Caenorhabditis elegans: one gene and its partners. The protein of the gene in region 1 purifies or fractionates together with the protein of each later gene. This does not show direct contact. Each region holds a gene or a part of one and is shown in the gene's direction. Other genes may lie near its edges. The genes, in order: F01G4.6, asg-2, cox-4 and rpl-15.

Evidence for each region.
Region 2: the proteins of F01G4.6 (region 1) and asg-2 fractionate together in Caenorhabditis elegans (co-fractionation; one large-scale study listed by BioGRID). This does not show direct contact.
Region 3: the proteins of F01G4.6 (region 1) and cox-4 fractionate together in Caenorhabditis elegans (co-fractionation; one large-scale study listed by BioGRID). This does not show direct contact.
Region 4: the proteins of F01G4.6 (region 1) and rpl-15 fractionate together in Caenorhabditis elegans (co-fractionation; one large-scale study listed by BioGRID). This does not show direct contact.

Annotation. Positions count from the first base shown.
Region 1 is NC_003282.8:11,146,162-11,152,558, reverse strand, and holds F01G4.6 (Phosphate carrier protein, mitochondrial), read left to right. Parts: upstream 1-3,357; 5' UTR 3,358-3,599; coding exon 3,600-3,834; intron 3,835-3,877; coding exon 3,878-3,999; intron 4,000-4,042; coding exon 4,043-4,771; intron 4,772-4,819; coding exon 4,820-4,897; downstream 4,898-6,397. Other genes in the region: C08F8.2 (ATP-dependent RNA helicase SUV3 homolog, mitochondrial), read right to left, coding at 36-125, 533-611, 661-780, 827-981, 1,027-1,266, 1,338-1,562; pfd-1 (putative prefoldin subunit 1), read right to left, coding at 1,737-1,836, 1,889-2,034, 2,337-2,444; pigq-1 (PMT_2 domain-containing protein), read left to right, coding at 5,317-5,381, 5,430-5,568, 5,613-5,715, 5,770-5,917, 5,964-6,054, 6,103-6,366. UniProt on the Caenorhabditis elegans protein: Transport of phosphate groups from the cytosol to the mitochondrial matrix.
Region 2 is NC_003284.9:6,839,543-6,845,000, forward strand, and holds asg-2 (putative ATP synthase subunit g 2, mitochondrial), read left to right. Parts: upstream 1-1,715; 5' UTR 1,716-1,716; coding exon 1,717-1,821; intron 1,822-1,899; coding exon 1,900-2,019; intron 2,020-2,261; coding exon 2,262-2,354; intron 2,355-2,401; coding exon 2,402-2,479; 3' UTR 2,480-2,579; downstream 2,580-5,458. Other genes in the region: glr-6 (Glutamate receptor ionotropic, kainate 2), read right to left, coding at 310-546, 619-754, 802-963, 1,007-1,073; C53B7.3 (DUF7107 domain-containing protein), read left to right, coding at 5,227-5,250, 5,297-5,357, 5,450-5,458. UniProt on the Caenorhabditis elegans protein: Mitochondrial membrane ATP synthase (F(1)F(0) ATP synthase or Complex V) produces ATP from ADP in the presence of a proton gradient across the membrane which is generated by electron transport complexes of the respiratory chain.
Region 3 is NC_003279.8:13,656,066-13,661,797, reverse strand, and holds cox-4 (Cytochrome c oxidase subunit 4), read left to right. Parts: upstream 1-2,669; 5' UTR 2,670-2,686; coding exon 2,687-2,818; intron 2,819-2,869; coding exon 2,870-2,999; intron 3,000-3,050; coding exon 3,051-3,316; 3' UTR 3,317-3,627; downstream 3,628-5,732. Other genes in the region: sac-2 (SAC domain-containing protein), read right to left, coding at 3,659-3,949, 3,996-4,560, 5,239-5,618.
Region 4 is NC_003282.8:652,282-657,983, reverse strand, and holds rpl-15 (Large ribosomal subunit protein eL15), read left to right. Parts: upstream 1-3,407; 5' UTR 3,408-3,412; coding exon 3,413-3,584; intron 3,585-3,622; exon of another isoform or gene 3,623-3,755; intron 3,756-3,781; coding exon 3,782-3,918; intron 3,919-3,953; exon of another isoform or gene 3,954-4,082; intron 4,083-4,140; coding exon 4,141-4,446; 3' UTR 4,447-4,504; downstream 4,505-5,702. Other genes in the region: K11H12.8 (Growth hormone-inducible transmembrane protein), read right to left, coding at 1-122, 615-842, 1,257-1,362, 2,037-2,287, 2,341-2,404, 2,453-2,587; Putative bolA-like protein K11H12.1, read left to right, coding at 4,582-4,647, 4,694-4,810, 5,594-5,702.

The DNA of each region.
Region 1 (6,397 bases):
GAATATATCCATAAGTAAGATTAAAATTTGAATACCTCATCAGCAGCTGCTCCAAGAAGAGCTCTTGTCCATGCCCAGCCACGTTGCTCGTCGCGGAGCATTTGAATCTCATCGATTACCGCAACCTAAACTTTCCATGAACTTGAACTATATTATTTCAGACGCTAAATTTTTTGATCTCTGCTCTAAAAAGACTGTACCGGGTCTCGACGCGACAATTTTATGTTACAAGATGTGCGCCTTCATAGAGTACTGTAATTTCAAACTCTAGTTCCGGCTTAAATATCGATTTTTTGTATTTATTATACCGACAAAATTCTAATTTAAACTCAAAAATACTAATGTAAACCACAAAGTTCAGCAAATTAATTATTTGCAAATTGAGAGAAAAATTATTGAAATTACAGTACTCTTTATTTAAAGGCGCGCGCCTTTTCGAATTTAACAAAAATTTGTCGCGTCGAGACCGGATAATCTATTTTTGGCGGAAAATCGTCGAATTTTGCGTCTTGAAAAATTAAAAAATTGAAACCTCGACTCGCATTTGTGTTGATAACATTTCAACTGTAGATGAAAGATGTTGACTTGGATGATGATTATCTTTTGCGAACCTTAAAAAACACAAATTGGAACTAATTATGAAAATGTATATTCAATTACCTTCTCTCTTCTCCAGTAACTAAATCACATGGTATTCCAAGTTCATTTGTTCGATGAAACACTTCAGCAGCAAGTAATTTCAGTGGTCCACAGAAAACTGCACTTTTTGCCTCACCAAAACTGAAATAGAATATTTGGAAATCAATTTATTGTTTCAGATAATTACCGTTTAAGAGCGTGATATGTTTTTCCACTATTCGTTGGTCCAGCGTGAAAAAAGATCTTTCTTGTCACACTTCTGGCTTCAGGATACCAATTGTGCGGTCTTGTGAGATCGGAAATGATTCGCAAATCGTCCATCGCTTCCAAGTGGGGAAAAACCTCAAAATTTCAGATAAACTCTCAATTAAGATAGTTTTCGGAAACCTGTTTGGCATGATCTAAAAAGAACGGATACAGCATTTCACAGTCTTTTGTTCCTTTTGAAATATCGCTTAATAGAATAAGAAGTCCAGGATCAACAGAATTTAGGTCTTCTGGTGTACAGTACTCTCTGAATGATTTGAAAGATCGCATGAATAATTTATCATTGATCCCGTTTTCTTTGGCAAGTTGGCGTACCATTGGACGGCGCATAAATTCATCAAGGGACATGTGAATGTTTGTCTGAAAGTTGAAAAATGAGCTTTGGAAGATGCTGGAGTTGGCATTTTTGATGAGATCGAATAAGTTCTTACATTATCTAGTGATCCAATCCATTCTCCCATTCCCGCAGCTGTTTGTGTTACATGTTTAACTTTTCGAGGTTCGACAATATCCTCAATAGTCGCAGTTTTTCTCACAGAATTCCTTTTTCTTCTAGAATTCATTGCTGGAAATCTGGAGGAGGATGGGGTTGAGCTGGTTGAACATCTTTGAGTTAGGCCTCCCAGAACTCGTAAAACACCAGACGCCCTTCTCATCTGTAATATTTGATAGAAGTATGCACACGCTGAAATAGAAATAGAAATAACGGAAATCCAGAAATTGTTTTGAAAACGTTTATACGTACGCCAGAAGAGATTCATTCGAAAAAATGATGCAAACGTAAACAATAAAGCAATTTTACACACAAAATAGAAATTATTCCCGAGGGTTCAGCGTCTACTTTGAATCAGCTCGCGAAGATTCGTTTCAGCCTCCACCAATCCTTTCTCCAAATAGTCTTTCTGCTTCTCGATAGCTTCAATTTTCTCTCTGAAAATGGGATTGGTTGTGTAAACTGTTTTGAATGGAAGAATGAAATTACTTTGACTGTTTAGCTTCAGCTTCATGTCTGGAAATTTCAGCTGGTTTGTCGGTCAGCAGGAACATACGCCCAACAGATCGATAGTACTTGAGGTTTTCATCCAAATCCACCAAGTTCTTTTTTGTGCTCTCTGAGATCCTCATTTTCTGAAAAATTTAGTTATTAGAAGCGTTACTTAAGAGAAAAAGTTATACTTTTATGTTTTTAAATATTAAAAATGCTGAGTGTTTTTTAATGGATGTGTGTAATGAAAAAATACCGATGTACAGCAAAAACTTTTTTGGCAAAGCTAGATTGTAGTTGTGACTAGCTGTGACTATTTGTGACTTAGGCACAAGCTAAGAGGTGAAACTCGCTAGTTTCTATGTTATCAAGTTATGATGTCATACATTTCTCATAATATTTAAAGTATATCAAATTTCAATATTTAATATTCAAAAATACTCACCTGATAGTTAACTTTCTTATTTTGTTCTCCTTGAACTATCCGCATTCGTGTTTCATTGGTTTTGAATTGCAAGTCGCGAAACGCTTTTGAGATCTCCTCGTCGGCCATTTCTGAAGTTGTAATATGAAAGTTGATTTAATAATTGAGACAAAAAAGAGTTGCGTTAAAAGAAATCACGAGAAAAGCAAAGAAAACAAATTGATTATCTTTGAAAAGTTGATTTGGAATAAACTTTTGAGAGATGGATTATTTATCCACAAATTTTAATTATTTTATGATTTATATATGTTAAAAAATGAGATACACCTTTTAAATGATAAAATAATAATGCTAGAAAACAGAATTTTAGATGTTGTAGTCATATTTTAAAATAAAAATGGAAAAATCGAGTAGAAATGTTTGCTGGCGCATTGCCAGAATCGAGTTAGATGTGCAGGTCATATAGCAAAGTGACGGGAGACGACTACGGTAGGGGCCGACCATGGCTCAGAGAACGTCCATGATATCTTTTGAGGCGGTTTGCAGGCCCGCCAGTGATAAATTATCAGTTATTCTACGAATTTCTTGAATTTTGAGTTTTATTGTAGATTTTTGAAGCATTATATTGCAAAATCATCTGTGATATTTTTGTTAGTGTCTCTTTTACATTTTTATACTTCCCGCATACTAATTTTTCGTGTGAATATAAATGTTTGGCAATAATTTCGGTAATTTCCAGGTAACCACCATGAGCGTGTTCAGCCAGCTTGCCGAATCATCGAAGCAGAACCCATTCAGCTTGCCGGTCAGGTCGGGTAACTGCGCCAGTGCTGTTTCAGCTCGTAAGTATTAATTGAATTTAAAAAAAAAACTTAATATATTAGCTAGCATAATATTGTCAGTAAAATAGTAAATTCACGTCCTACTTAGATTACTTTCTAGAATTTAGTTTTTTATTAGGAGGGGTAATGACAATCCGAATTTTTCTTTACCTGCATTCTCTGTTCCCACTTCCCGTGCAGCGCATGTGCACACGTAAATTGACGAGGGCTGCGAGAGGCACGGCGGAGATAGTATCTCGCGAAAAGAGAATCGAGACAGACTATTCCCTCGTTTTGCAAAACGTGGCAACCGCGTTTTAAAAAGACATAGAATCGAATATCTGTCTGCCGTTCGACGTCGTTCACACGTAAATTTCACGTGGATCATTTACTATCTTCCACGTTATTTCTATGCTACCACATGCCTAGGCGGGATTATAAGCATTGTTATAATCGCTTATCAATGACGTCCGAAACGGAAGAGAAGGCTATGCCATTCATAGCTCGAGCCAAATCTCCTCATCTCCAAACTGGAAGGGCTGGCATTATAGTGATATTATGCATGTGGATTATAATTTATTTTTGGGGTGTTACCCAACTAGTTGACGGGTTAATGGACTGGCTGGCGTACGGGTCCACTCAATATGTTGCACGGGTCGCGGTTGGTGTTGTCACCACTGTAGCTTCTTCATATGAAGGTTTATCGCTCGAACTATACAATTTAATGTTTTTTTGTTACAGCTGGACAAGTTGAATTCGGAAGTGGCAAGTACTACGCTTACTGTGCTCTCGGAGGAGTTCTTTCTTGTGGAATCACCCACACTGCCATCGTACCACTTGATCTTGTCAAGTGCAGAATTCAGGTATTACGAGAAAAATCTATTCAACTTAATTGTTTTCTTTTAGGTGAATCCAGAGAAGTACACCGGTATTGCTACTGGTTTCCGGACCACCATCGCCGAGGAAGGAGCTCGTGCTCTTGTAAAGGGATGGGCCCCAACCCTCCTTGGATACTCCGCACAAGGACTTGGAAAATTCGGATTCTACGAGATCTTCAAGAACGTCTACGCTGACATGCTCGGAGAAGAGAACGCATATCTCTACAGAACCTCTCTTTACCTCGCTGCTTCCGCCTCAGCTGAGTTCTTCGCTGATATCCTTCTCGCCCCAATGGAAGCCACCAAGGTCCGTATCCAAACCTCACCAGGAGCTCCACCAACTCTTCGTGGATGTGCACCAATGATCTACAAGGCCGAAGGACTCACCGGATTTTACAAGGGACTTCCACCACTCTGGATGAGACAGATTCCATACACCATGATGAAGTTCGCTTGCTTCGAGAAGACCGTTGAGGCCCTTTACCAATACGTTGTTCCAAAGCCAAGAGCAGAGTGCTCCAAGGCTGAACAACTTGTCGTCACGTTTGTTGCTGGATATATCGCCGGAGTTTTCTGCGCCATCGTATCTCACCCAGCCGACACTGTTGTTTCCAAGCTTAACCAAGACTCTCAAGCCACCGCCGGAGGAATCCTCAAGAAACTTGGTTTCGCCGGAGTCTGGAAGGGACTTGTGCCACGTATTATCATGATCGGAACCCTCACAGCTCTTCAATGGTTCATCTATGATTCTGTTAAAGTGAGTTTATATCGGTATTATTTTTCTTAATTAATAAAAAAAATTCAGGTCGCCCTCAACCTTCCACGCCCACCACCACCAGAGATGCCAGCTTCCCTCAAGGCCAAGCTTGCCGCTCAACAATAATTGCACTGACTAGATAATGATTTTGATTTCCTTCCTTAATCGATTGTTCTAGCCATTGTATTAATTTGAAATCCACCCAATTTGTCTCTTTTCTCTCGGTCCTACTCTCACTCTTAATTTTTTATAACTAATTAGTGCACCATGCTCGGTTTTAGTGTGATTATCATTTCCTTCATTTGTTTCAAGTTGTCCTTCAATCCCGATGTCTTCTTTTTTGAAAGATGAGTTCTCTGGCAGTGTTTTTATAAATCTCCTCCGAACAAAACCGATCGAAGAATATTGTATACGTTGGTGTTAATTTGTGTGTGTTCTCAAGAAAAGACCTCAATTGGGTAGTTCAATTAATACAGTCCACCCTCGCTCGTTTTACCGTTGAATTCCAATAAAAAAAATTGATAATAACGTGATTTTCAGAATTTATGGATAAAATTACTAAAAACGTGGTTTTAATCAGGACATTAGAAGCAAAAATTCTTCTCGTCCGGTTTGTTTCCTGAGATATTAATATTTTATACGGAAACTTAGTTTCTAGAACATTTTCCTTCACACGTCTGTTGCTTCTTGATGTTGCTTTTTCAATTTACTTATGGAATATTTGGACACCAAATTGGGAATGGACAGTCAATGAATTTTGGGATCAAACTGGAAATGTTGCTGATAATTTGAACGGAGTAATAATATTTTGAACTTTATGCTCTTCAATAAGAATTTTCAGACAATAACATGGCTGAGAAGTAATCCAGCTGGACTTAAACTTAATACTCCCGTAAATGAAACTCTTGCATGGTTCTTCACTTATCACATTTATCTATGGACAAGTATGCTCTTTTGTTTCCAGAAATTCGCATTCAACTTTCATAATGATTTTTCAGCTTTCATTGGATTTCTTCGTTCTGATGCATTCTTCCGGTTCATCGCATACTCTTTGATCGGTGGCATTTCAACATTTTCTGCGATGGTTTACGATTTCTCGCAAATATTTTTCTTGCACTTCAATTGTTTTGATGCCTACGCTACCAAGTAATCGGGAACTTCAATTGATTTTAAAAGATAATTAATTTTTCAGATTGTGCTACCTTTGTTACTACACTTTAACAGTTCTTTGGAGCCTTGTGAGGGGAAAGAAGTGGAATCCATTGAGAGAACGAAAAGACACTGTAAGAGTTTTCTGGTATACCTATGTCATTTTGTATAAATATTTTCAGGTAATCCTCGACACTCGTCAGCAATTCCTGGCAACTTCTCTGTTCGTCATCCTTCTTTTCATTCTTCCTACAATTTTTGTCTACTTCGTCGTCTTCCGATGTCTTCGACTCGCTGTATCGGCACTTCAAACCGTGCTCTATTTCTTCGCAACGTGGCCATTTCAACTGTTTGCTCTTGAAAAACATTTAGCTGAAAAATACGGAAAACCAGCGGATGCACAAAACGAAGCATTGGCTGAGAAGAAAACAAAATCCCAAAACTGAATTTGGATATATTCAATTTTGATATCTTCGG
Region 2 (5,458 bases), on another chromosome or scaffold:
TGCGTGTTAGTTAACACGTGATTAATTATTTAATATTTATACATACAATGAAAGGAAGTTAAAATAGCCTCTGACTTTAAAACAAAACGTATAAAAGTTAAAGAAGCTTTGTTTCAAAGAAACTTTAGCTGCGGAGCTCAAGTATGAACACTTGAAAACGAAATCTGAAACTATTTTCAGTTTCAGGAGATAACTGATAATTTCTGAGTCTATAAAATATAACTTTTATTATACGACTTTTTAATTCCAAAAACAGGCATGTTCCAATTCATATTTCGGTTAAGATCCACGTGCTATTAATAAACCTACCTGTCACAAGTATCTCGTAATGCCAAGGCTGTTGCCATCATACTGTCATCCAAAGTGTGAGCACGTAGCAGAGCAGGGCTCTTTTCTAGTCGAGAAAGTGTCTCGATAAGTTGCTTCGGAGCGTCATAATTTGAATAAATGTACACGAAATTATCCCAGCGCCACAGATTTATAAGTCTTTCCATTAGTTGAGAATATTCCATCGATGGATACAAATTTAGTGATGTTTGTTGTTTTCTGAAAAAGCAAGTAAACATTGCTAATACTTTTTAAAAGCTTTTATCAAATTTAAATTTTAAAAAATGTTACTTTTGATATCCGGGTGTCCAGTAATAGTGGATAAATAGTATATTCAACTCTGCACATTGCTCTTCAATAATGGATCCACTCTCTCTGTCGACAACACCAATAATAACACTGACTTCTGAGTTTGCGAGATCGCATACTAAAAATCGAGGAGAAAAAATGTGAGAACTTTTTCCATTACCTTACTTTTTGTGTTCAAATCTTCGTGCGAATTTTTCAGTGCAATAAAGGATGTGTGAGTGATAAAGCAAGCTCCTCGCGTTTTCACAATTTGTTCATTGATTCTTGGTACTATAATATTCACGGCGGTTCGTACAGAATGCTCCAAATGGTGACTCGTTATTAATCCTTAAAATTTTTTTTGCTGATGAAACCCAATTTGATTGCCTACCAATCCGTATTGATGATACACCTGTTCCTAGGAAAGATAATAGTAGAAATCTGAAGATGTTGAGCATTTCAAATGCATTTGTTCAGCAAGTTCTTTCATTTTATTCTTAATTGGTTGATGTGTAGACGATAATTGAATTGACTGATTTTCCCATAGTGTTGTCACAAGCACTAAAAGAACTTTGATTAGTGGGCGTTGAAAAAAGCAAAATACAAAGTTCTAGCAGAAATTTGAAAGATAAAAAAAAATGTTAAATTAAACATTTAAGAATATTTTTCAATGTCTTTTTTTAAAACTTTTATTAAAGCTTTTTTTAATAAATTAAAAAATAAATGTCATATTTTTGTTTTAAAACATCGTACTTTTTCCAGAAGAAAACAATCTGTACATTTGCACCTTGTAAAACAATTCCGTCTTCAATAAAATCGATACTCCCGCCTGTGCCGGCCAAAAGATGGGAAGGAAGATGGAGAGGTAACATGTGCAATTGCGCTCCATTGAGAAGGTCTCATAACGAAGAGGCAAGTCTCTGGGAATTCAAGGCGGTACACATCTCATTTACGGGTAAAAATACACTAATTTTTGCTTTTAAATCAACTTATTAATTTGTTTTAAAACTTTAGATATTTTGCCGTGTTTCTCTGAGTGTTTTCCGTCAATTTTTGTTTGTGTCAATGAATTTTCGTTTCAAATAACGTTAATTTTTCAGAATGGCTGCTCCAAAACTTGGATTTTTTGAGAAGATCGCCAACCTCACTGGGGCTTTGTACCGCCACCAACATGCTCAATTTCCACGTCGCTTCGCTATTCTGAAGGTACAGTTTTTTGTCTCTGTGTATTTATGTCTTTGGACACCGTCTAATGTTGGAAATTTAAAAAATCAAACACTACAGGCCGTAGGAAAGCACGAGCTTGCTCCACCACGTCAAGCTGACTGGCCAGCCATCAAGGCCGATTGGGCCAAAGTCCAGAGCTTCATCCAGACCGGAGGATACAAGAATTTGAGCATTAGAGTGAGTTTTTGTTAAATAAAAAAGTTAAAGTTAAAAAATATACTTTATGAATAGTTAGCCAGAACATTTATACTAGACTTTCACATTACCATACTAAACGTTTCAAACATTAAAGTGTTGCTCTATATATAAATAAACACAACGAATTCACTTGATATTACTAATGCAAATTTTTATTCATATTTGGTTATCAAAAACTTCAAAACGATGAAATTTATTAACCGGAACGTTTATTTTTTCAGGAAGGACTTGTCTACACTGCCGTCACTCTTGAGGTTGTCTTCTGGTTCTTCGTTGGAGAAATGATTGGACGTCGCTACATCTTCGGATATCTTGTAAGTTGTCATGCATTATTTTTATTAGTCATTATATCGTATTGTAGGTTCCTGCTGATTACGTTTCCAAGTCCACCAAGAAGACCGTCAAAGAACAAGAGGCTCTTGCTGCTCTCGAGAACTAAATTGTTATCCTTATGTTTAGCGGCTCGTTTTTGATATCGACAAATTTTTGATAGATTTATTTTGGAGTTTGTAAAATGAAGTATTGATGAAAAAAATAAATATAAAAATTTCTAATAATTTTTGATAAAATTTGGCTGTGTTTTGAGAAACATTCAAGGAAGACATTCTGAATGCAATAAAAATTAATTTAAATTAGAAACTTTTAGAGTACGCTCTAATAAGTTGGCATATGTACATAGATGCATGGGGAGTATAAAAATAAGAATAACATCTACACCGTAGTCAATATTTTATAAGTATATTCGTACAGCAAGTGTACTAAAATACAATTTTCACAAAGTAAATTTTTTAAATTTGAAATTGCATTTATACAGGAGGGAATAATCCTAAATCGATTTTTTTTTGAGAATATCACCAAAAGTCTGGTGTTTCTCATAATTTTCCGATTTAAGGGTAAACTTGGTCCCCTGTACCACCCCTTTATAACTTTTCTGCGCGCTTACTCATCTCTCTATTTCATATCAAAATATATGAAATAGAGAGATGAGAAAGCCACAAAGTTATGAAAAAATCAAAAAAAAAATCATGTTCACTAACCAGTGACAAAATGCCTTTCACATTCATAAAATTAATTTCACCGCACATTAGCAATATTTTGGCATATTTACAAATTTATTTCAGTGAATTATGGCCGAAATCAGTTGCAAAATAAATATATACATGTATGCATACAAAAAACTAGTTGAGAAAAGGTTGTCACTATTGATCCTTGCCCCTATGATACACCCCACTATGCCTACTGGATCCTGTGAAATTTTGAATACTTCGTTTCCATAGAACCCTAGTCACCCAAAAGTTTGCCATCTCGGAAGAAAATTCTCAGATTTATATATTATTCAGTATGCAGGTCTCATTAGTTTTGCAAGCTTTTTCTTAAATGAAAATCACACTTTCTCCTTTCTTTCATATAATGATTTTATGTAAATTCACCAACAGTTCATGTTATCAATCCTAGTTCATGAACAGTTGCACGTCAACAAATATTTTCAAAAATTAATTACAGTGCCGGACATAAAGGTATGCAGAAAAGGTTTTTCGTGAATTTTTTGTGAAAGTATTAGGTCTCCAAATAAGTTCCGGGTCAAAAATCATAACTTTTTTTGCCTTTTATAGATTTTTTGAAACTTTGGGAATTCATGTTATCAACTATGACCTTTCATTTTGAAATAGTCACAAAATTTTTTGACCACCCGGAGTGCCCTAACTCGAAGCCATTTTTTTCAGGCATTTTTCTGATCTCGCTTCTTTGCAGCTTTGAACTAAGGTTTGTGTGCGGATTTTACTATGTTTAGAATACATCGTAGGAAATCAACAAAAGTTTGGAAAAAAATCCGTCCAAAAAAATTCTTTTTGGTCGGCCGTCAAAAAAACTTCAAAAAAAATTTCTTTCGAAAGTTTTTGATTTTTAGTATAAAAATGATGTAACCATGTGTAAACTATTTTTAAACATACAAAACATTTGAGTTTGAAAATTGGATCTCGAGAAATACTCAAAAAACTCAAAAATATTCTTCGAAAAAATTATGTTTTCTATTATCATTTGAGTGTGACGAACTTAGTTAAAATGTTTTGTATTTGTAAAAATAGTTCACACATGACTACATCATTTTTGTATGAAAAATCAAGAATTTTCGAAAAAAAATTTTTTGAAAAAAATAAAAAAATTTTTGACCACCGACCAAAAAAAAATTTTTGGACTGATTTTTTTCCAAACTTTTGTTGTTTTCTTACAATGTATTTTAAACAAAGCGAAGTCCGCACATAAACCTCAATTCAAAGCTGCAAAGAAGCGAGATCAGGAAAATGCTTGAAAAAATTCCTAGTGGTCAAAAATTTTTGTGACCATATCAAAATGAAAGATCATAGTTGATAACATAAATTCCCATAGTTCCAAGAAAATCGATAAAAGGCGAAAGAAGTTATGATTTTTGACCCGGAACTTATTTGGAGACCTAATAATTAAAATCGATTCATTTTATTTATCTAAACTCCATTCCATGTAGATTCCACCAAAAAAAAATTCGCGTTTGGTGGCTGTACTTGCATTTTTTTTAATCGAGCCGAAAAAAAGTTTGCTCACAATGTAAACGGTTTTTGCCAATCTTTCGCTTACCTGACAAACATCTCTCGGAGTTGTTTGTCACTGCAATCTGTGGTTTCTGAGTGTGAACAATGAATCATTCTTTCCGAGTAAAATAACAATAACTGAATTTATAAAGCAATATCGGAAGATTCCGTGACTCCAGATGTTACATTCTAAAAGCATGTGATCGAAATAGAACAACTTTATTAATCTTTCGGATAGAATCTATTCTCGGAATCTGCTCGATCTATTAATTTAGTTTCTCGTGATAATAAGTAACATTAACTCAAACAAAAAAAACTATAGTCCGCAGTGTAAGCGAAATGTAAACATAGCGGTATTTGTGACTCGGGCCAAACAACACGAAAAAGTCAATAATTTAAGTGAACTTATCAACGACTACTTATCAACGTTTATTGACTCTGTACCCTTTGGCAGACATTTTTTGTAAACTGGGAGATTTTTCTGGCAAAACATGTGTTTACTTGGACGACGCTGAGCCACAGGCACATGTTTATCGAGTCCAAGACAAACAACCGCCTAGAAAAAAGGACAAGTATAAAAAGGTCAGAGGTGACTGGGATAAACCACACCAAGTCTAAAATGCAGTTTACCATTCTTCTTGCAGTGAGTTTTCCATCCAATAAAAACCTTTTAATTAAAACAATTTCAGCTTTTTGGCCTTGCTTCTGCTGCCACATACTATTCATCAACTCCAAGCTATAGCAACTCTTGTAAGTAATATAATAGAGTTGTTAGATAATAGATAATAGAATAGATAATAGAGAGTAATATAATAGAGAGTGTTAAATAAAAAACTTTTCAGACAGAAGTT
Region 3 (5,732 bases), on another chromosome or scaffold:
TAGAGCCGACGTTGAAGCCGAGATCTTGATTCTCAATCGAGATGAGCCTCGTGGGCCTGATGGGATGCGTATTGGACGCGGAGGACGCGGTGGACGCGGAGATCGGGGCGGATATTTTCAAGAGTAGAAGCTCGATTAATTTGCCCCTCTTAAAATTATCATTTTTTCATTCCTCGTTTTTTTAATTGTATAATCTTAAATTTTTCCGATCTTCAGATCTCCCACATCAATTGATTTCACAATTTTCTCGTTGTATAGTAAAAGATTTCAATATCTACTTCAACTGCTTCAAAATTCGAATAGAGGAACACTTCTTCGATTTTTTATCCGTTGGATTGTAGTATTACTCGATATCCGCACGTTTCATCAAAATTTCGAGTCTGACGAAGATCTGAATTAGTACACTGCAACTTTTTCCTCACGAGGGACGAGGAAAAGTTTTTTCCCGTTTTTTCTTATTAAAACTGATAAATAAATACTTTTTGCAGATGCTAAAACAATTTCCAAGTAAAAAAATTATGTTTTCAGTCGGCAAGCAGCGTGAAAGTGGTCAATGCAATATGATGGATTACGGGAATACAAAACCCAAACTTTTTCCCAAACATGATACATATGATGCTTAGATGCTGACATTACCTGATTTTCATAACGAGACCGCTGAAAAAGTTTTGAGGTTTCCAAAATTCAACTTTTTGTGCGAAAATCTCGACTTTTTCAGCGGTCTCGTTATGAAAATCAGGTAGTCTCAGCATTTAAGCAGCATATGTATCATGTTTCAGAAAAAGTTTAGGTTTTGTATTCCCGTAATCCATCATATTACAATGCCCACTTTCACCGCTGCTTGCCCACTGAATACATGATTTTTTTACTTGGAAATTGTTTTAGCATCTGCAAAAAATATTTATTTATCAGTTTTATTAAGAAAAAACGGGAAAAAGCTGTGAAAAACGAAAGAAAACACGCGGAAAAAAAGCAAGATAAATGGCCGCTGAAACTTGTCGGCCCCTCGGCCATGGCCTAGAAACCACTTTTCCTCGTCCCTCGTGAGGAAAAAGTTGCAGTGTTGGGGTAAAAAACTACGCTGAGCTCGATTTTCAGCTTTTTTGGGGTCTAAAAGCTGCTCTAAAAGCCTAAAAGCCTTAGTTTTAGCTAAAAATCCCAAATATTGTACCTTCAGAGCCCACAACATAATCCATATTCTCAGGATTCCGTCCACATTGCCCAAAATTATTATCACCAATCGCAAAAACGCCCAAATTGGTTCGAATCAGCGAGTGCGCTCTACCGGACGAAATCTCGAGAATTTCGTCGCCGGGAATATTGATTTTCTTTGCGGATATATAATAATCCTGATATTTGTTGATATTCGTCAATTGGCCACCGATCTGGAAGCTAAATTCGTGATTTTTGAGGGTTTTTTGGTATTTTTTACAATTATTAGGGAAAAAAAATCAATAAAAACAGCTGTTTTTTTTTTGATTTTTCGCTGAAAAATCGATTTTTTAGAGCACTTTTTCGTAAAAAAATGGCTTTTTTTTGGCGAAAAACATGAAATTTCTCAAATTTTTCAGAAAAATTGTTTAAAATAGGTAGATTTTTAAATTTTGAGAATTTTCTGTGAGAAATTAGAAAAAAAGGGTTTTGGGAAGAAATTATCGAATTTTCGTTGTTTTTTCTCGGAAAAGTCGGGATTTTTGAGGATTTTCAGTGAAAAACTGCTAAAAATCTGCTTTTTGAAGCTTTTTGGCAACGTTTTATCGATTTTTCGGAAAAATAATGAGAAACCCCCTAATTTTTGTATTTTTATTCAATTTTTCAATGAAAAATCGTATTTTTTCCAATTTTTTTGGGAAAACTCATTTAAAAACGCAATAAAACTGATTTTTTCGATTTTTTTCCAGTTTCTTGAGTTTTTTAATCGATTTTTCAGATTCTTCCGCTCATCTTGACAAATTTAAAGCCCTTTTTCAGAAAAATCCAGCGTTTTTCAGAGTTTTTGGGCCAAAATCGCCAATTTATCGATTTTTCCAGAGAATTTCCTGCGAAAATCCCACCGATTATTAATTCCAGCACCGTAGAGGCGATTTTTCGACGCAAAAAGCGAAAATCCAAAGCCTGAGCTTATAAATTTTTTTATAAAAAGTTTTTCTCAATTTTTCACCCAAAAGATTCAAAAAGCAAGAGCGCTCTATTGGACTCAATTGGCTGCGTACTTGAACGCGTGTAAAACGTTGATTACTCAGTCAACACGATTTACGGAGTGAACAGCCCGCAACGGCGAGCCGTTGTTACATTGCCAATTTATTGATTTTTCTGGAGATTTTGCCAAGTTTTATGCAAAAATTAAAAGGAACCACATATTTCCATCGTTTGTTCGTATTCCGGCTAGTTTAATCCTTAAAACACGAAGAGAGAACGGTTTTTGATTATTAATATATTGCACCCGTGTGTTCTGTTGTTTGTTCGTTTCTGACTAAAACTATCCTCTTCCACGTTTCCATCGGTGTTTTCCGTCGGCCACTTTAGAAATTACTTTAGAAATTCATTTTTATTATGAAAATAGTTCATTTGAGTATGTTTTTTTCATTTCTCCACACTGACGCCGGATTTACCTTTTGTTTTTTGGTTTTTCCTGCATTTTCAACCCATAAACCAGTTATTTATTTCAGGTATGTTGGCTCGTCAAATGATGCTGCCACGTTTGGCTCTCCGCGCAGTGCACACCACCGCCCGTCTGTCCGGAGGACAGGAATTCTACTGGGGACCCGATAAGGCCGCTGGACGCGAGCTCGTCGGATACGGAGCAAATGGAGATAACGTACGCCTTGTTTATTTTATAAATTTTAAATTTAATTAATTTATTTTTCAGATCTACCAAGATCGTCTCGACTACTGGTATCCAGCTATTCGATTCCGCAAGGAGGACAGTGTGATTGCCCCAATTCGCGCCAAGGAGCAAGCCGACTGGAAGAACTTGTCTGCTGAGGAGAAGAAGCTCTGTTAGTATTCAATTTTCCTCGACAAACTTGAAAATGTTGCTAAGTTTTCAGTGTACCGCTACAGCTTCCGTCAAACGCTGTCCGAATTCGAGGCTCCAACCGGATACTGGAAGGTGATCTCCGCCGTTATCCTCTCCGTGCTCGGACTTTGCACCTATTATGCTGTTCTTCTCAACGTCTGCGTGTACCCAGAACTGCCGCCAACCTTCCAGAACGAGTACAAGGAGGCTCAGGTTGAGCGTGCGCTTGTGCTCGAGAAGGGACAATTCCTCGGTGCACCGACACACTACGATTACGAGAACAAGAAGTGGAAGTAAAATATAGAGATTCAGCAGAAATAAAATAAAATTTTTTTGTAGCTTCTTTCTCGTTTTTATAATTCTCTCTTGGTTGTCGTCGCTCCCCCCGCCCCATCACTCTCTCGTCAAACATTCAAGCTTACCTTCTTCTTCATCGCCCCAACCCTCATCTGAAACCTAGATAAGCTGTAAATCTCTCCTAGCGGTCGAACGCACTGACCAATTCTTTCGTCTCCCCCAATTTTTTCTTCAAATTTTCCAAGTGGTTCGGCTTCTTGAGAGATGGGCTGCCCTGTAAACCAGAAATAAATAGATTGAATGTTGCTGTTAAATCCAGGAGGCAATAATTTATTTATTTCTTTACAAAAGTGAAATTTTAGTTTGACACTCGGAGATAGCGGGTAGTAGCGAGGAAAATGGTTCGGGTTGGGGAGAATCTGATTTAAATTGTGACATTTTCAGGATTTTCGTCATTAAGTGATCCGATTTTTGCGATGCGTCCGATTCGTTTCCATCGGTTTCTGGAAGTTGAGCAGTTGAAATTGTGGAAGCACTTTTCGATAGACTGGATGGCTTCCCAACTCGCTTGATCTTCCCGAACAGTGCACCCATCGCAGCCATCGATTTTCTATGAACCGACATTTGAGGGATCTGAAACTTCTAATTCTAGATTTTGAAAATCTCAAGCCACCCAAACCGTAATCTTTGCCACCGGAACAACTGAACCTTCAGCGCCAGTCAGCATATTCCTGCCAACCTGAATCTGCTCAGCGACCGACGAAATATACTCATTGGCTTCTTCCAAGGATTTCAGACGGATTGCAGTATTATTAAATAACCGAACAGTAGATGGCCTCCAAATGAATACACCTTCGAGAGTTTCCAGTCGAGCACATTGTCGATTATTTCCAGATGTTCCTGTTTGAATAGTATTGATATCTTCCAGCGCAACGATTTGCACATCAGTCATCTTTTCTCCATCGATTTCATAGGTTACAATATACAAATTGGAGCGGGTTAATATGACGACTGTGTCGATTTCATCGCTACTTTGGAATGCGTTAATCAATCCCCAGCCAGCGATGACAGTTTGCTGGGTTGGAACCAGGAATTGTATGGTTTCAGTCACCATTCGACTGATATTCTCTTCTTCTTCCTTCTCATTTTCCTCTTCTTCTGCATTTTCGTCGGCTTCCGTTTGTCCTGTCACTATATTGATGGCTTTTTGGCGTTGAGCATCTTTGGTGTGTGTTAGGTAGTATCTGAAAACGGAAAATTGTGTAGTTTGTAGTGTGAGAATGTTTTTGAATTAGAAAAAATGTATTGAAAATGAACATTTGAGGCGGAAATTGACATTCGGTTGAGGATGAGAGACTACAAACTACAAAATTTGGGTGAGGCTACAAGATTCTGTAGTTTGTAGTGTGAATTTTGTGCTTTTTTATTTTCTTGAATTGTAAAAAAGTGTATTGAAAATGAACATTTGAGGCGGAAATTGATATTTGGTTGAGGCAGAGACTTGGTTGAGGCTACGAGATTCTGTAGTTTGTAGTGTGAGCCTCAACCAATATTCCTAGTGATTTTCTGGTGTTTTTAACTCGGAAAACTATTTAATGCTTATTTTTTTAGGGCAGAAATACTTTTTTTAGTTTAAAGTTTCAGGTTTTTAGAACAAAAATCGATTTTTCCAGCCAAATTTGTTATTTTTTCTTTCAAAAATACTCGATTCAAGGAAAAAAATGTGATTTTTTACCGAAAAATTCGAAAAAAATAACTTATGATCAACTTTGGTGAGGCTCACAAAGAGTGTAGTTTGTAGTGTTAGCCTCACCCAAAACTAATTTTCTGGTTGAGGCTGTCAGAATTCTGTAGTTTGTAGTGTGAGCCTCAACCAAGTCGATTTTAATCGAATTTTCGCCATTTTTTCTAGCTTCCCGTACCTCGATGCACTATTATATCCATCTTTCATGACCCCCATCAGCTTCCGCTCTCCATTCCTCGTCACATCTCCCTTCAGCGCGGCGGTTCCGGCGTATTGCGTCGATATCACATCTCCATTATCAGCCCACATCGTTTGCATCGTCTGTACGAGCACTTCGGGCGGTTCGCACAGCGGTCCGAAGATTCCGAGGCGTTGAGCCTGCTGTAACACTACAAACAGGGAGATTTGGCCCTGAACAAGATTCGTTCGGTCCAGACAGTCGATACAGTTGGTTCGGACGACGCCTTTTTGGGATTGAACCACTTCTCCGGTTTTGTCGACCCAGCAGAAGCCAATGGTTTTCAGTGTTTCTTCCATTGAGGAGATAAGCGTTTGGAGCTGGAATTTGGAACGTTTTTTAGAAAAAAAATGTTTTAAAAATTAACATTTGAGGCGGAAATTGACATTTGGTTGAGGCTGAGAGACTACAAACTACAAAATTTGGGTGAGGCT
Region 4 (5,702 bases), about 10 Mb from region 1:
GGAACCGTACAATTGAGATGAATGTGGGTGATTTTCAGCCTTTTTGACGAGTCTCTGCGTATCATAGAGAAGGAAGGCCGAGAAGAGGATGAGACCACCGTAGACGACAATCGATGCGAGACCTGAAATAATTTTTTGAAGAATTTTTCACACTTTTGCAATTTTTTTTCGCTTTTTTCGTGTGGTTTTTCTGAATTTCAGAGAATTTTGGATTTTTTTTGCATTAAAAAATCGAAAAAATCGCATTTCAAACCCGGTTTGTTGTGTAGATTTACGCAATGGTCGTGTACTCCACGTGGAGAAGTGGGAATTTTTCGGTTTCAGATTTTTACGATTTTTCTCTATAAAACTGAAATTTCATAGCAAAAACTGCAGAAAATTGTTGTTTTTGCGATATTTTAATCTAATTTCTGAAGAATTTCCTAGATTATTACAAAAATCGCGAAAGCGACGAGAATTTTAGCTGAAAACTTCAGATTTCAGCCATTTTCAGTGCGAAATTCATCAGAAAAACGTTTTTTCTGGCATAAATGCCATTTTTTTTGCACATTTTGCAGCAAAATTCGATATTTTCAGCCGAATTTTCGCATTTTTCTCCAAATTTCACTACGTACTGGCTCCCAGAGCTGATCCAGGTGGCAAGAAGAATGCTCCAATGTTGGCGACAAAAACAACGCCAAATCCCATGGCAAGTGGTCCGGACATCATCAAAAACTTCTCCGATGGAGCGGTGATGGCGGTGGCCGAGAGGCCTCCAACGATTCCGGCCGTGTACCAAGCCGCACGAGTGAGAACTGGGCCGGCCATGAAGCACAGCGGCGCGAAGACGGCTCCGAGAACACCTGAATATAGAGGAAATTGGATGAAATTTTATATATATAATTATATCAAAATTTCGGAAAGTTTCCAATTTCGGCTTAAAAAATCTCAAATTTTGTCAATTTTTCCGTCTCGCAGCTATTGGAAATTGATTTTATTCGGTTTTTTCGGTCCTTTTTGCATATAAATATAGTTTTTCTTACAATATATTTGGTTGATTTAGGTACATTAAAAGCTAGCCGAGCCAAAACTTATGCAAAACAGTAGAATAATCCTACAACAGTAAATTTCCACCCGCTGCAACACGGAAAAGTTGACAAAATCAGAGATTTTAGCCAGAATTCGACCAATTTTTCATCGAAGTTCGGCCTTTTTAGTTTGTAAAAATCACAAAATTGATTTTTTTTTTCAAGTTCTCCGTTGAAAATCCGCCGTACCACAGTGAAGAGCCCAGGCGAGATGCTTGGCGACGGTGCTCTCGTAGTCAATTGATCTGGCGAGCATTCCCGAAGCGATCATTGCAGCCATTGTTCCGAAGAGTGACTGAAAAAATTGATTTTTATTAAATTTCCGATAATTTTTAAAGTTTTTATTGCTTTAAAATTTTTAAAAATGACCTCCAACCTTTTATGGAAGTTCAAATTGTTCGAAAAGTGGATAAAACTAGTTAAAATCATTAATTTTCCGGGTTTTTAATTGATATGCACACAAATTTGAACCTAAAAACCAGTAAAATCGCTGCAAAAACAACAGAATAAGAGATTATTACGACAAATTTCAATTTTTCGTTAAAAAATTGATTTTTTGGACCTGAAAATTCCATTTCTCAGTCATGAGTAGATAAAAATGCAAAAAATTTCTCGTTTTCCAAGCTTTTTATTAGCCAAAAATTGATTTTTTGGTCCTGAAACTCGCAATTTTCAGTCATGAGATGACGAAATTTCGAACTTTTTTTGCAATTTTCACTCAAAAATGCGGTTTTCTAACTGAATAAGCCCAAAAAAAAAAAACGGGAAAACGTTAAAATCAGGCATTTCCAGCGGCTTTGAAGCCTTTTTTAATCGATTTTTTGGTTAATTTTCAGTCGGTAAGCACACAAAAACCCGGGTTTTCTGACGAAATCGGGCATTTCCAGCGACTTCGAAGCCCATTTTCCGGGATTTTCAAGGGATTTCACAACGAATTTCGCTTTTCTTCGGGGATATTTCGTCCCTTACCATCATTCCTCCGCCAGCGGTCAATCTCATAATCGCCGCGCTTCTGGAAGCTGCAACTCCGCTGACAGCAGTTAAAGCGAGACTTCCAGCCAAATAAGCATACGTTGTGCTGATTCTTTCACGGACGTATGATGGCCAAATTGCGCTTTTTTGGAGAATACTCTGCTCTTTTGAGACGAGTCCGTAGTACATGAGAGCTCCAACTCCGAAGACGGATGCTCCAGCGAGAGCATAGGTTCCGTAGACGAATGCTGGAAATATATGTAGGCCTTTTTATAATTGAAAATTCCAGTAAAATCCTCACGTTTTCCAGTAGTTGGTCCCAAAAGTCGCTCCTTCAGCGTTGGTCCAGTGCGAACTCCGAATCCCTGAACTCTTTAAATCGTTTTCTCGTCAAAAATTATTGAAAAACTCACTTGATTTACTCGAGAACCGAATCCGGACTGCCCTCCTCCATAACGAGCTGATTTTGCGGCGGTGTTGGCGAAAAATCGGACTCCCGAGGTGAAAGTCGCCACTTTTGGAACGGTCATCGTGAGACGAGACAACATTTTCTGACTGAAATGATGAGAATACGACGAGAAAAGTGGAAATTGTGTTTGTTTGTGATGAAAACAACCGAGGTCACGTGGGAAAAAATGATGCAACGAGGAGTTATGAAATTTAGAAAGTTCTAGATGTTTTAGAATGTCTAGCGAAAATAACGTAGCCTAAAATAAGGGATAAACCATTTATTATAGCTTTATGCCGGATTTCCAAAGTTCTACAAATAAAAACCACATTTTAGGGAGAAAAATGACTTTTTTATTCGATAGAAACCGAATATTACTGATTTTATAGATATTTTTCGATTAAATATAATGTTTTATCAATTAAAAATACGAAAAAACCAGATAAAAACCTGAAAAAACCTGTAAAACAAGGAAAAACATATTAAAAATCACAAACAATTCGTGTCGATTTACGGCGGACGAGGCTTGGCACACGGCCAGCCGCCGGACTACGGTGTTTGCATTGTGGAGCGTGTTTCGAGTGTATGCGAAGTGTATGAGAGCGTCTTCTCATTTCACACACGAGTTTTGTTGGCCTAAACGATTTTTTTGGATTTTTCAGCAATTTTAGTGAAGTTTTCCTAGGTTTTTCATGAATTTTGTTAAATTAATTTAAAATTTTAATTTTTACTGGCAAAAAATCAGTAGTTTGTTATTTTTACGCAGAATTCCGCCCAAAATGTTGGGACTTTGATGAAATAGATTTTCTGTCAGCCAGAATTTTAAAAAACTATGTTCCATTCTTCGATTCACTTTTCTTTTTCAACAATTTTATTTATTCAACCCCTCAATCTCGTTATTCTAACCTTTTTTCTTTCAGAAAACATGGGTGCATACAAGTATATGCAGGAAATCTGGCGCAAGAAGCAGTCAGATGCTCTTCGCTACTTGCTCCGTATTCGTACCTGGCACTACAGACAGTTGAGCGCCGTCCACCGTGTCCCACGCCCAACCAGACCAGAGAAGGCTCGCCGTCTCGGATACCGTGCCAAGCAAGGTAAGATTGTAAAGATTTGAATAAAATTTTAAAAGCTACTTGCCACAATGTCTGGGCAAGGTGCCCTGCACCCGCTTGAGCAACCTAATCCATTGATGGCTATATAAAATTCATTGAGTAATCCCTGTTGAGTTATATAGAACTTTCCAGTTTCATATCATTGATACAATTTATTGAGATTAAATTTCATTTTTCAGGATTCGTTGTCTACCGCGTCCGTGTCCGCAGAGGAAACAGAAAGCGTCCAGTCTGCAAGGGACAAACCTACGGAAAGCCAAAGACCCATGGAGTTAACGAGCTCAAGAACGCCAAGTCTAAGCAAGCCGTTGCTGAGGTGATTACTACGAATTAAATGATTAGATGAAATTGTTGCCTCAGTGTCTGGGCAAAGCAGACTGTTTTTAATAGTACTGACTTAATCCACTGATGGCTATAGAAAAACATTGTGTAATCCCCGAACACCTTGTGGTGTATTGGATTCATGACATTGTGACAATTTAAACAAAATTTTCAGATATTAGCATTTACTTTTCAAAGTTAATTCGTTGTATTTCAGGGCCGCGCTGGACGTCGTCTTGGATCCCTCCGTGTTCTCAACTCCTACTGGGTTGCTGAGGACTCCACCTACAAGTTCTACGAGGTTGTCCTGATCGATCCATTCCACAAGGCTATCCGTCGTAACCCAGACACCCAATGGATCACCAAGCCAGTTCACAAGCACCGTGAGCAAAGAGGACTCACCTCTGCTGGACGCAAGTCTCGTGGACTCGGAAAGGGATGGCGTTTCTCTGCTACCCGCGGAGGATCCCAAGCCAAGAACTGGAAGAGAAAGAACACCAAAGTTTTCCACCGCAAGCGATAAATCTTGTTATTTTATTTTGTTTTGGGCTTGTTCCGAAAATGAAATGGTTGTTATCAAACCTAATTGTTTTATCTTTGTATTTTTCACATTAAAAAAGAAATAGTTTTTAAAATCACAGTCTTCATGAAAAGAGTAATGAGCACATTGAGCGAAGGCCCAGTAGCACGTCTTCTCAAGGAGAAGCTGTTCGCCGCGTTCCAGGTAAACTGATCTCTAAATATGTCGGAAGGAAACTGTTGAATTCTAGCCAAAACATCTCGAAGTGGAATGCGAGAGCCACCTGCACAACGTTCCAAAAGGAGCCGAGAAGCACTTCCGAGTGCAAGTTGTCAGTGATGAGTTCGAGGGGAAACGTGTCATCGAGGTTGGTGGAAAAAGATCGATACATGGATTAGTCGAACACATGGAAAAACTCGCTAAAGGCCGTGGAACGGCACTTTTTCATAGGCTTTACCAATTTTTCAGCTAAAACATTTGCTTTTTCAACATTATCGCCAATTTATTCCTTCTTAAAAACATGGATTTGTCGATTTCGTGGCTAAAAGTATGATATCTGGTCTCGACACGACAAGTTTTGTTAAATACAAACGGGTGTGCGCCTTTAAAGAGTACTGTAATTTCAAGGACTCGTTTCTGCGCAATTTTCATCGACTTTTCATAATTTTTCGATAAAAATTATTTATTTATTTAAAAAAACCCATAACAATAAAAACACATAAATTCGCGAGAAAAACTATGAAAAATCGATAAAAACTCGGTAGAAATAAAATTTTGAAGTTACTGTATTTTTTTAAAGACGCACTCTTTTTCCAATGTAACAGAAAATTTAGTTTCGAGGCCGCCGGATGATACCGCATTTTTGGAGCAAAAATCGCAAATTTTCGCTAAAATTGGCGAAAATAGTTCAAAAATTTGGAAGTTTCGTGTTTGCGGCCCCAATACCTAACGAGACCCAAATTATGGTTATTATAAGAACAAAAAATTCTGTTGACGTGCAAAATATCTCGTAGCGAAAACTACAGTAATTGTTTAAATGACCCCACTGTAGCTCTTGTGTCGATTTACGGGCACAATTTTTGAAACGAATTTCTATGGTTTTCACAAAATTTGGAAGCCCGTATTAACCCAAAAAAATGTTGATTTTCAGAGACATCGTCTTGTGAACACGTGTCTTGCCAAGGAGCTTGCCACGACTGTCCACGCGCTTCGAATCGACGCTATTCCAACCAGCAAGTGGGACGGACAGAAGCAAGAAG